Nothobranchius furzeri: one gene and its partner. The protein of the gene in region 1 interacts with the protein of each later gene in a pairwise test. Links are inferred from orthologs where the notes say so. Each region holds a gene or a part of one and is shown in the gene's direction. Other genes may lie near its edges.

Region 1 (3,926 bases):
CTTGACCTTGTGTAAATTTTAATAACATTTGGTGTATGTAATCCGCTTTAAATCAATCTACTCTACATGAAATATCACCTGACAAAAATAGGGTAATTAAATTTATGCTGCTATTTGATATTTATTAATTGCAGTCCATACAGTTTAAATTTAAATTCAACAGCAGAAAACCTAAGCCTACAACATTCCAGTCCTAAACAGCTCCATATTCTCTCCTTTTGTACCTGGATAATGCCTGCCTGATGCACCAAAGGACTCCACGAGTGATGTCTGTTTCACCCTAGCTGCAGGTGATGTCTGTTTCACCCTAGCTGCAGCAGCAGCACCTGGCTCACTCCTCTCGTCTTCTGTCCTCTTCACCATGAAGTCGTCATATGCTTTCTTATGGTTTACTTTCAAATGTTTAACTAGGTTAGTTGTGTTACCACAATGCCTCACAGTCTTCCTACAAATGTCACAAACTGCATTGTTTTTATCAGAAGAGCTAAAACTGCTCCAAACATGACTCCGTTTGCGTTCAGACATGTTCAGACCGACTAGTACCGCGCATGCCATGCACTTCCAAACCGTGAGCTTCCGGTTCCGGCAGCAGACAACATAAACAGGGAGCCCAGTGTGCGCCCCCCAGTGGTGGGTTAAAGTATTTATATTGTGCCGTATCACGCACCACGGTTGGCGGAAGAAGAAGTAGTTCTGGTCATAAAAACGTAATTTTTGAAGAATGACCAGCAAATTAATAACTTTAAATCACTCAAATATCGATACTTTAATGACAGTATCGATTCCAAAACATAAATAGCCAGATTCGGAGTATCGATACTTTAGTATCGATCCGCACATCCGGAACATAAACACATGTGGACCATAACGCTTCTCATAGAACTCAATACAATTGTTAGAATTTATAGCCGAAATGTGTTTGAACTGTATTTGAACGTCAGGAAACTAAACATAACTTTGTTTTGTCATTGAAAGAGCTAATTTCAGTTTTTTTTTTGTTTATCGACGTCAAACTAGATAAATGTTCCTCCCTTTAGCTTGTTTGCTAACTGATTGCTCGTAAGTTGTTGTTTATGTTTTATGTATAACGCCATATCTGACCTAATCATGTTCAACACACGAGTAAGAAATCATGACTTAAAGGATTATTAATCATGCTGTTTAAGTAAAAACGACCAACTTTTCTATAAAAACAACAAAAATGGAGACCGTCGCCCTTGTTGCTCCAATCACAGCTTTGGAATTCCTTCAGGACAAGTTTCTACTCACTGGTAAGTTACAGCTCTGATTTTAATCATGGAACTATTTACTTATAGCCATATGCTGAAGGCAAAAGTCATGTATAAATGTATTTTGGAAGTAAGTTTGTTGAAGTGTCTGAAGTTTTTTGTGCTGTTGAACCAGAAACTGTTGAGCTTAATCAGTCGTGGCCACCGTTTTATTAATATTGACGACTAGGTCACACTGTATAACCTTTATATATTCATTCTGGAACTATCTATCAACCGTCCAATGATCCTTCTGTCCAATGATCATGAATAAGTGAAAACACTTGAGATGCTTCCAAACAAATAAGTGATATATTGTAATAATGAGAAGCAGGTTACAGGCTTTGAGCGATGACAAGAGCATCAAAAGTCTAAACAAATATCCTGGTAGATGGAATGAATAATAAATGTAATTGCTGATCAAAGGATATATTTAACATTTTACAGGTTTATAGGGTAAAGTAAAATAGTTCACCTTATAATCATTTGGCTGCCATACCTTGCACAGATTAAATATTATTCAACAACTATTAAAGAATATTAAATATAAACAATAATGATTCATCCACATTAGGATTCATAACCTTTATAAAAGATCACTTAAAGGAAACATATTACTTTTTTCTTATGGTATTTTAGATCTATGGCTTTTACAAAACACGTTTCTGACCATTTTGCACTAAATCTCCTCACATTAAGCAGTTTGAGAAGTTTTATTCAATACCTTCTAGAATGAGCCGTTTTAGAGCTCTGTCACTTTAAGAAAATAGTCTAAAACTGGCCACACCCACTCAATTCAATTCAAAAACACTCATCCCTTGCTCAGGCTGCTATAAGCTGAAGAGCTCCAATATCTGAGAGAGGCTCAGAGTAGAGACGCTGCTCAAGCTCGATGAGTTGAGGGTTGGTTCTGTGCTAATTTCCTCGTTTTTGACATTACAAATGGGGACTTTTTGAAACCTCTTGTTTTAGACACAATTCCTAAACAAAACACCGACAGAAAAAGGATTTTTTTTTCACAACTGACTGGATTGTTTACTGAGGCAGAAGAGAGGCAAGTAGCAGCATAAAGGGATGCAAAAGGTGAATGTTGCGTAATTTGTCCCCTTTAACGGTCTTAAATTGTCTTTTTCTTTCCATCCTGCCAGGTGAAGGTCCAGTTTTGTCAGTATACAGTCTCCAGCCTCACCCAAAAGCCCGCGCCTCGCTGAGTGTGCTCCTACATCACAGAATCCACGGGATAAGACCAAGAAGTCCAGAGACCCTGAGCCAGAAGGAACATGGTTAGAATAGCAAGTTCTTGCTGTTATCATTCTTTTAAGAAATTGCTTTGTCTTTACAAATATAATGAAAATGATTGTGCAAATAACTGATGATTTTGAAAGCAGCCAACAGAAAAGTTGTATTTTTTTACACAAAATTTAAAACATTAAGCACAAAACACACCAATATAACAAATTAAAATAACACATTAAATGTCTGATTGCATTTAATTGATTCAAATCACTCACAACCTCTTATTGCTTTAGAGATTTAGAGTTTAGGGTGTCATTACAAACAGATTTATGAGATCTCCTCTCCACTCTCATCTCCTAGTAAAGAGTTCTGCCACAGAGCTGAACTTCTACGACGTGCTGGTGTTTGGAGGCAAAGCTGTGCGCCTAGTGAGGCTCCATGTGGATTCACAGGATGTGGAACACCTGCATCTGGAGATCCTGGGTGCCCTCTTGGAGCTGCAGGACTGGGCTCTGGACGCTCGCTGGCTCTCAGGAGGAGAACAGTCACTACTCTGTGTGGCTGTCGCTCACAATGGTGCTCTTCTCCTGGATGTTCATACAGGAAGTACTCTGGTTGAGTGTTTTTGTTTAGAGGGCTGTTTGCTGTATTCTGCCCTTCTCCTGGTTCATGAATCCTGGGTGGATACTGTCTTAGTAGGGGGGACTGTTTTCAACCAGTTGGTCATTTGGAAACCAGGGGGATGTCACGAAATGAAGGATTCTGGGTTTAAAGCCCCAGTTGAACGACATTTGTTGGGCCACAGCGGCGTGATCTTCAGCATCTCTTACCTCCGGGAGAATGGGTATCTGGCTTCAGCCTCTGATGACCGCAGCGTGCGGATCTGGGATGTAGGTGCTTTGGGTGGCCCTGGAGGGAAATGTGGGGTGTTGGACCCAACTTGTTTACGAGTCCTTTATGGCCACCAAGCCAGAGTGTTCTCTGTGTGTCTTTCTCCAGGGAGAGTGTTTAGTGCAGGGGAGGACGGGGCCTGCTTAGTCTGGAACTTAGCTGGAAGTGGGAACGTGGTTCGAACACTGAAGGGCCATCGAGCGGGGGGCGTCCGTGCTCTGGCGATAAGCGTGGGGGCAGCAGATAAGAAGTGGGTGGCTACTGGGGGAGCTGATGGAGGGCTGAGGCTGTGGAGAGTAGAAGATGGTGAACAAGCAACTACAGAGAAGCTTACTGATCTGAAACTTCCTGATCACGGCCTGCCTAAGGTAGTTTGTATAGCAGGGGGGGGGAATGAAAACACAAGCGGGAGTCAGTTTGTCACTTGCACCGACAGAGGAATAGTTTGCCAATACAGCGATGGAAAGTGGGAGACATTGTGGCAAGGGTCCCCTGAGTTTGGTTCTTATTGTGTCATGGATACAGTAACTG
Region 2 (3,868 bases), on another chromosome or scaffold:
TACATGTTAAAATGATAGTTAGCTAGCTACTTCGATAAACTCAGCTAGTTTAAAGGCGGCAGTGACCTAAAATACATACATTTAATTTAACTTACCGAAAAAAAATGAAGTGGAGACTCCTTGGATGCTCTATTAGTGCAATTAATGCCACAGCAAGTCATTTTGTCCAACAATTGCACCAGTAATATCCAAAACAGAATTCACAAGCACAGAGACTCAAAATCCCGAAACAGTTTCCAGGAGAGACCGAGGCTATACTGAGGCCTTTCCACGGAACTAGCTCTGTGGTCACGTGGGTCTGAGGCGGTGGTCACTTGTGTTGGATGCTCATTAATTATACAGAATTTTAGGCTTTCAATACACTTAAACAGAAGAGTGAGAAAAAAATTCACCCCCCTCAGAGTTGCCATGAGTGTAAACTAGATAATTTAAACAAAAAACATGTTTTGGTACCAGGCTGTAAACATGTTTATTTCTACTGTGAAATTGGTATTTTTAACATGGGAGTCAATGAGGATTTGCTCGCTTTTGACACCAGCCCCCAGCGGATGAGGGTGGAACTGCAATTTCTGGTACTTCCGGGTTGGCCTCAATTTTAGAGCTGCATTGTGGGCAATAATACCTAGCTGCTCGTTATTGGGGCCTATGGAATCCCATTGTCCAGTATATATGTCTATGGTTTGGAGAGGGTCTGCAGCTGAACTTCACCGAGGTCCAAAATAGCTGTTCTGTTGGTGGCAGGACAGTCTACTTAGCGAGGGAAGACTGTCAGCTGCTAAATGAAATAATCAATTGTGGGAGAGAAAGACGATCAATATATGTGTCCGTGGACCAAAAAGTCATAGATACGTATATAAACATGTTTATATCATCGACATTAATATATACGTTTATATACGTGCCAAAAACCCAAACACAGCAGACCGGAAACGGAAATGAGCGGCTTTTGTTTTGAAAAGAGGGAAATTTAAACTGGAAGGCGTCAGAAGCTGCAGACGTAAACTGGAAATCGATTTACACAAAAAACGGACTCGTATTTGGACACAAACCAAAATTCTGCTTCCTTGGATGTAAAGTAAGAATTATTTAGTCGCTTCGTGAGTGATTTAACTTTTTCGTGTTCGTCGAGCGCTTAGTTATTCGTGTCTACGTTCGATCAAGTTCAGATGTTCGAGTGTTTTAAAGAATCCATTGTTTGAAAAAGTGTTCTTATTTAACTCAACCTAAAATATTATTTGGTTAAACTTTCAAAAATCACGAATGTATTGTGTTCTCTTTGTGAGTTTTGGGTTTGACTTGGTTACATTTATGTTCCCTCCGAGTCGGTTAGCTGAGTTGGAGCAGTTCAAATGTTCACCAGTGGATCACAGGGGGACAGACTTATATCCAATCTTTCAGGGGCAATTCTGTAGGTGATGCACCACAACTTTGAATTTGTGTGTGTGTGTGTGTGTGTGTGTGTGTGGGGGGGGGGGGGGTGGAGGTGCAGGAAGATGATTATTAGCAAGGTATACCCAATAAAGTGGCCAGTCAGTGTACACATTGTTGGTGTGGTTGTGCTTCAGGAGGCTGAAGCATGTTTTTTTTTCTTTGTGTAGATGATCTAAATGGTGTGTTTTATTCATGACGATGATTTGCTAGCCTTCATCATTCGCCAACAGGTGGAAAACAACCAGTATGAAGAAGAGGGTCAAGATGCCTCGCTCCACCGATGGATCCACCAAGCAAGAAGATCGTGAGTGATGTCCACACCTAAACCTGTTCTTCATAACGGTGATAAACAATCTGGGGTTCATGCCCCCCCCCCCCCCCCCCCAAAAAAAAGAGGGTCCCAACAAATATCCTATGCTGAGGTTGTGAGGTTACTAGGATTACATTTGTGAAAACTATTTTATAAAACCCCAATGACACAATAAATAGTACAATCTAAACTTTGCAAAAGAGCCATTCTGTAATGTCTTTATAAAGTTTGTACTAAGGTCTGATCTGACTACAAGGTGTCATCAACCTGTGACTTTAACTGCCCTGGTACTACATGTTACAATGGGCATCTTCATGGTCATGTTCATCATGGTGGTTATTGTGGCCAAACTGTAACTGAAGAGCTGCAAAAGGCTCCAGCTCCCTGGGATAGACCCAATACTGGTTGACCAACTCAGAGCAGTATGCAGAAAACATGAGACTCAGGTGGTAATACCTAAGACTTTCATGCTTAATGGTCCAGTAGAGCAAAATGTTTGGAGTTACAAACTGTAAGAAACTTAGGTCAGTTTGTAGAAGTTCTAGAATCTGTACACACCACAAATGGAAGCTTGTAACTATGGATTTGTGTATGTGTGTGTGTGTGTGTCCAGACTGTGTTCTGTGTCGATTCGCTGATGATGACCCAGCCTTGTATGGAGAAAAGGTCAAGCTCAAGGATCACAACCTCTCCGTCCACTACTTCTGTTTGGTGAGTTTTACTAAAGGTTAAACTCTTCATCATCACGACGTCCTGAGGGACCTTTCGGTTCAGAGTGAGTGAAGACATTTTTATCCTTCTGGAACATCCTATTGTAACGTTTGTAAGTGGTTACTTTTAGTAAATTGTAAATAAAATATAAAAGTATTCAGTAAAATTTAATATTTTATAAAAAATATTAATTATCAATATTATTGAACCTTTAGTATTCGATTGATGATGAAACTAGGTAATTTGGGTAACGCCAGGAAAACGACACTAATCATTTGACACAGGGGCAAAAATATAGTTTATAAAAATCTATTTACTACTATATTTCTATGATGATGTAATGCACATGATTATAAATGGTGATTCAAAGTGATATCAAACGAGACAATGAATGAACTCCGATGAAACATGACCATGCATGTTTAAGAGCTTCACTAAGTGACTCAGAAAGGTGTGATGTCTTGGTTTATAAAATAAATTTGACTGTTTAATGCGGTTTAACAAGTTATCAAATTAAAATTGACTCATCAAACGCCAGTGCAGAAATGCGGTCCCACATGTGTATGGAGACTCCTCTGCGATCCTGCTGAGCTAAAGTTCTCCTTGGAAAGCAAAATGTTTGACACCTGGATGTCACGGGCCGTATTCGCACCAGCTGGTCAGAGGTCGACTCCCGGGCTGCAGGCGGACCGTTTCACAGCTCATGAGTTGTTTGTAGATGATGGAGTAAATAATAATAATTGTTTTATTTTGATAGGACAGCTCTTTCTGGCGCTAAAAACTAATCCACAGAAAAAGCTGGCTTGATTTCCCCTGGGATGATAATTTTAGCATACGCTGGAAGCTTCTGCAGGAACTGAAATGCCTAACATTTCTTATTTATCAGTTCTTGACAAATCCGAATCTAACAAGTGTAAATGGGCATTAACAGGATCCTCAGCCGCTTAGAAAAGCTTATTTCACTTAATATGAAGTAAATATGTTCCTTTGTTAATATACCAATATTAAAATGTGAATATACTGATAATTTAAGATCTTTAATACACCAAATAAGTCTACCTGTTGAATTTTATAATGAAATAAAGCATTATTTCCAGAATAAACATTTGTGTTGATTCATTTTTTAATATAAAATGATTATTAAACCACTTTAGATAAACATTCATTATTTAATGTAATTGTTCTTAACCTGTAAAGTGAAGAAATCATTTTATGAGCCAGAATAAGATATTTTTATTAAAAGGAAGTTGGATAAAAGTCTTGTCTCCTTTAGAGATGTCTTGTGAGGAGACCTTGAAGTCAATAAGGATACAGAAAGGTCAGGAGATATTCATTAATGCCTCTTCCTGGTGTCGGGCCAACACGACCTGTCTTGGGCAGGAAGTTAACTTTTGGGAAACTGATGAACCTCTTAGA

What was found.
Region 2: the proteins of wdr6 (region 1) and g2e3 interact in a two-hybrid assay, tested with the Homo sapiens proteins (2 studies listed by BioGRID and IntAct). The two-hybrid records come from large-scale screens. The link is inferred for Nothobranchius furzeri from reciprocal best matches to the Homo sapiens genes WDR6 and G2E3.

Annotation. Positions count from the first base shown.
Region 1 is NC_091755.1:33,777,968-33,781,893, reverse strand, and holds the start of wdr6 (tRNA (34-2'-O)-methyltransferase regulator WDR6), read left to right. Parts: upstream 1-840; 5' UTR 841-1,201; coding exon 1,202-1,271; intron 1,272-2,416; coding exon 2,417-2,551; intron 2,552-2,864; coding exon 2,865-3,926. Other genes in the region: uncharacterized protein, read right to left, coding at 225-555. UniProt on the Homo sapiens protein: Together with methyltransferase FTSJ1, methylates the 2'-O-ribose of nucleotides at position 34 of the tRNA anticodon loop of substrate tRNAs. Required for the correct positioning of the substrate tRNA for methylation.
Region 2 is NC_091758.1:18,092,801-18,096,668, reverse strand, and holds the start of g2e3 (G2/M phase-specific E3 ubiquitin-protein ligase), read left to right. Parts: upstream 1-953; 5' UTR 954-1,075; intron 1,076-1,661; 5' UTR 1,662-1,677; coding exon 1,678-1,735; intron 1,736-2,354; coding exon 2,355-2,452; intron 2,453-3,868. UniProt on the Homo sapiens protein: E3 ubiquitin-protein ligase which accepts ubiquitin from an E2 ubiquitin-conjugating enzyme in the form of a thioester and then directly transfers the ubiquitin to targeted substrates. Essential in early embryonic development to prevent apoptotic death.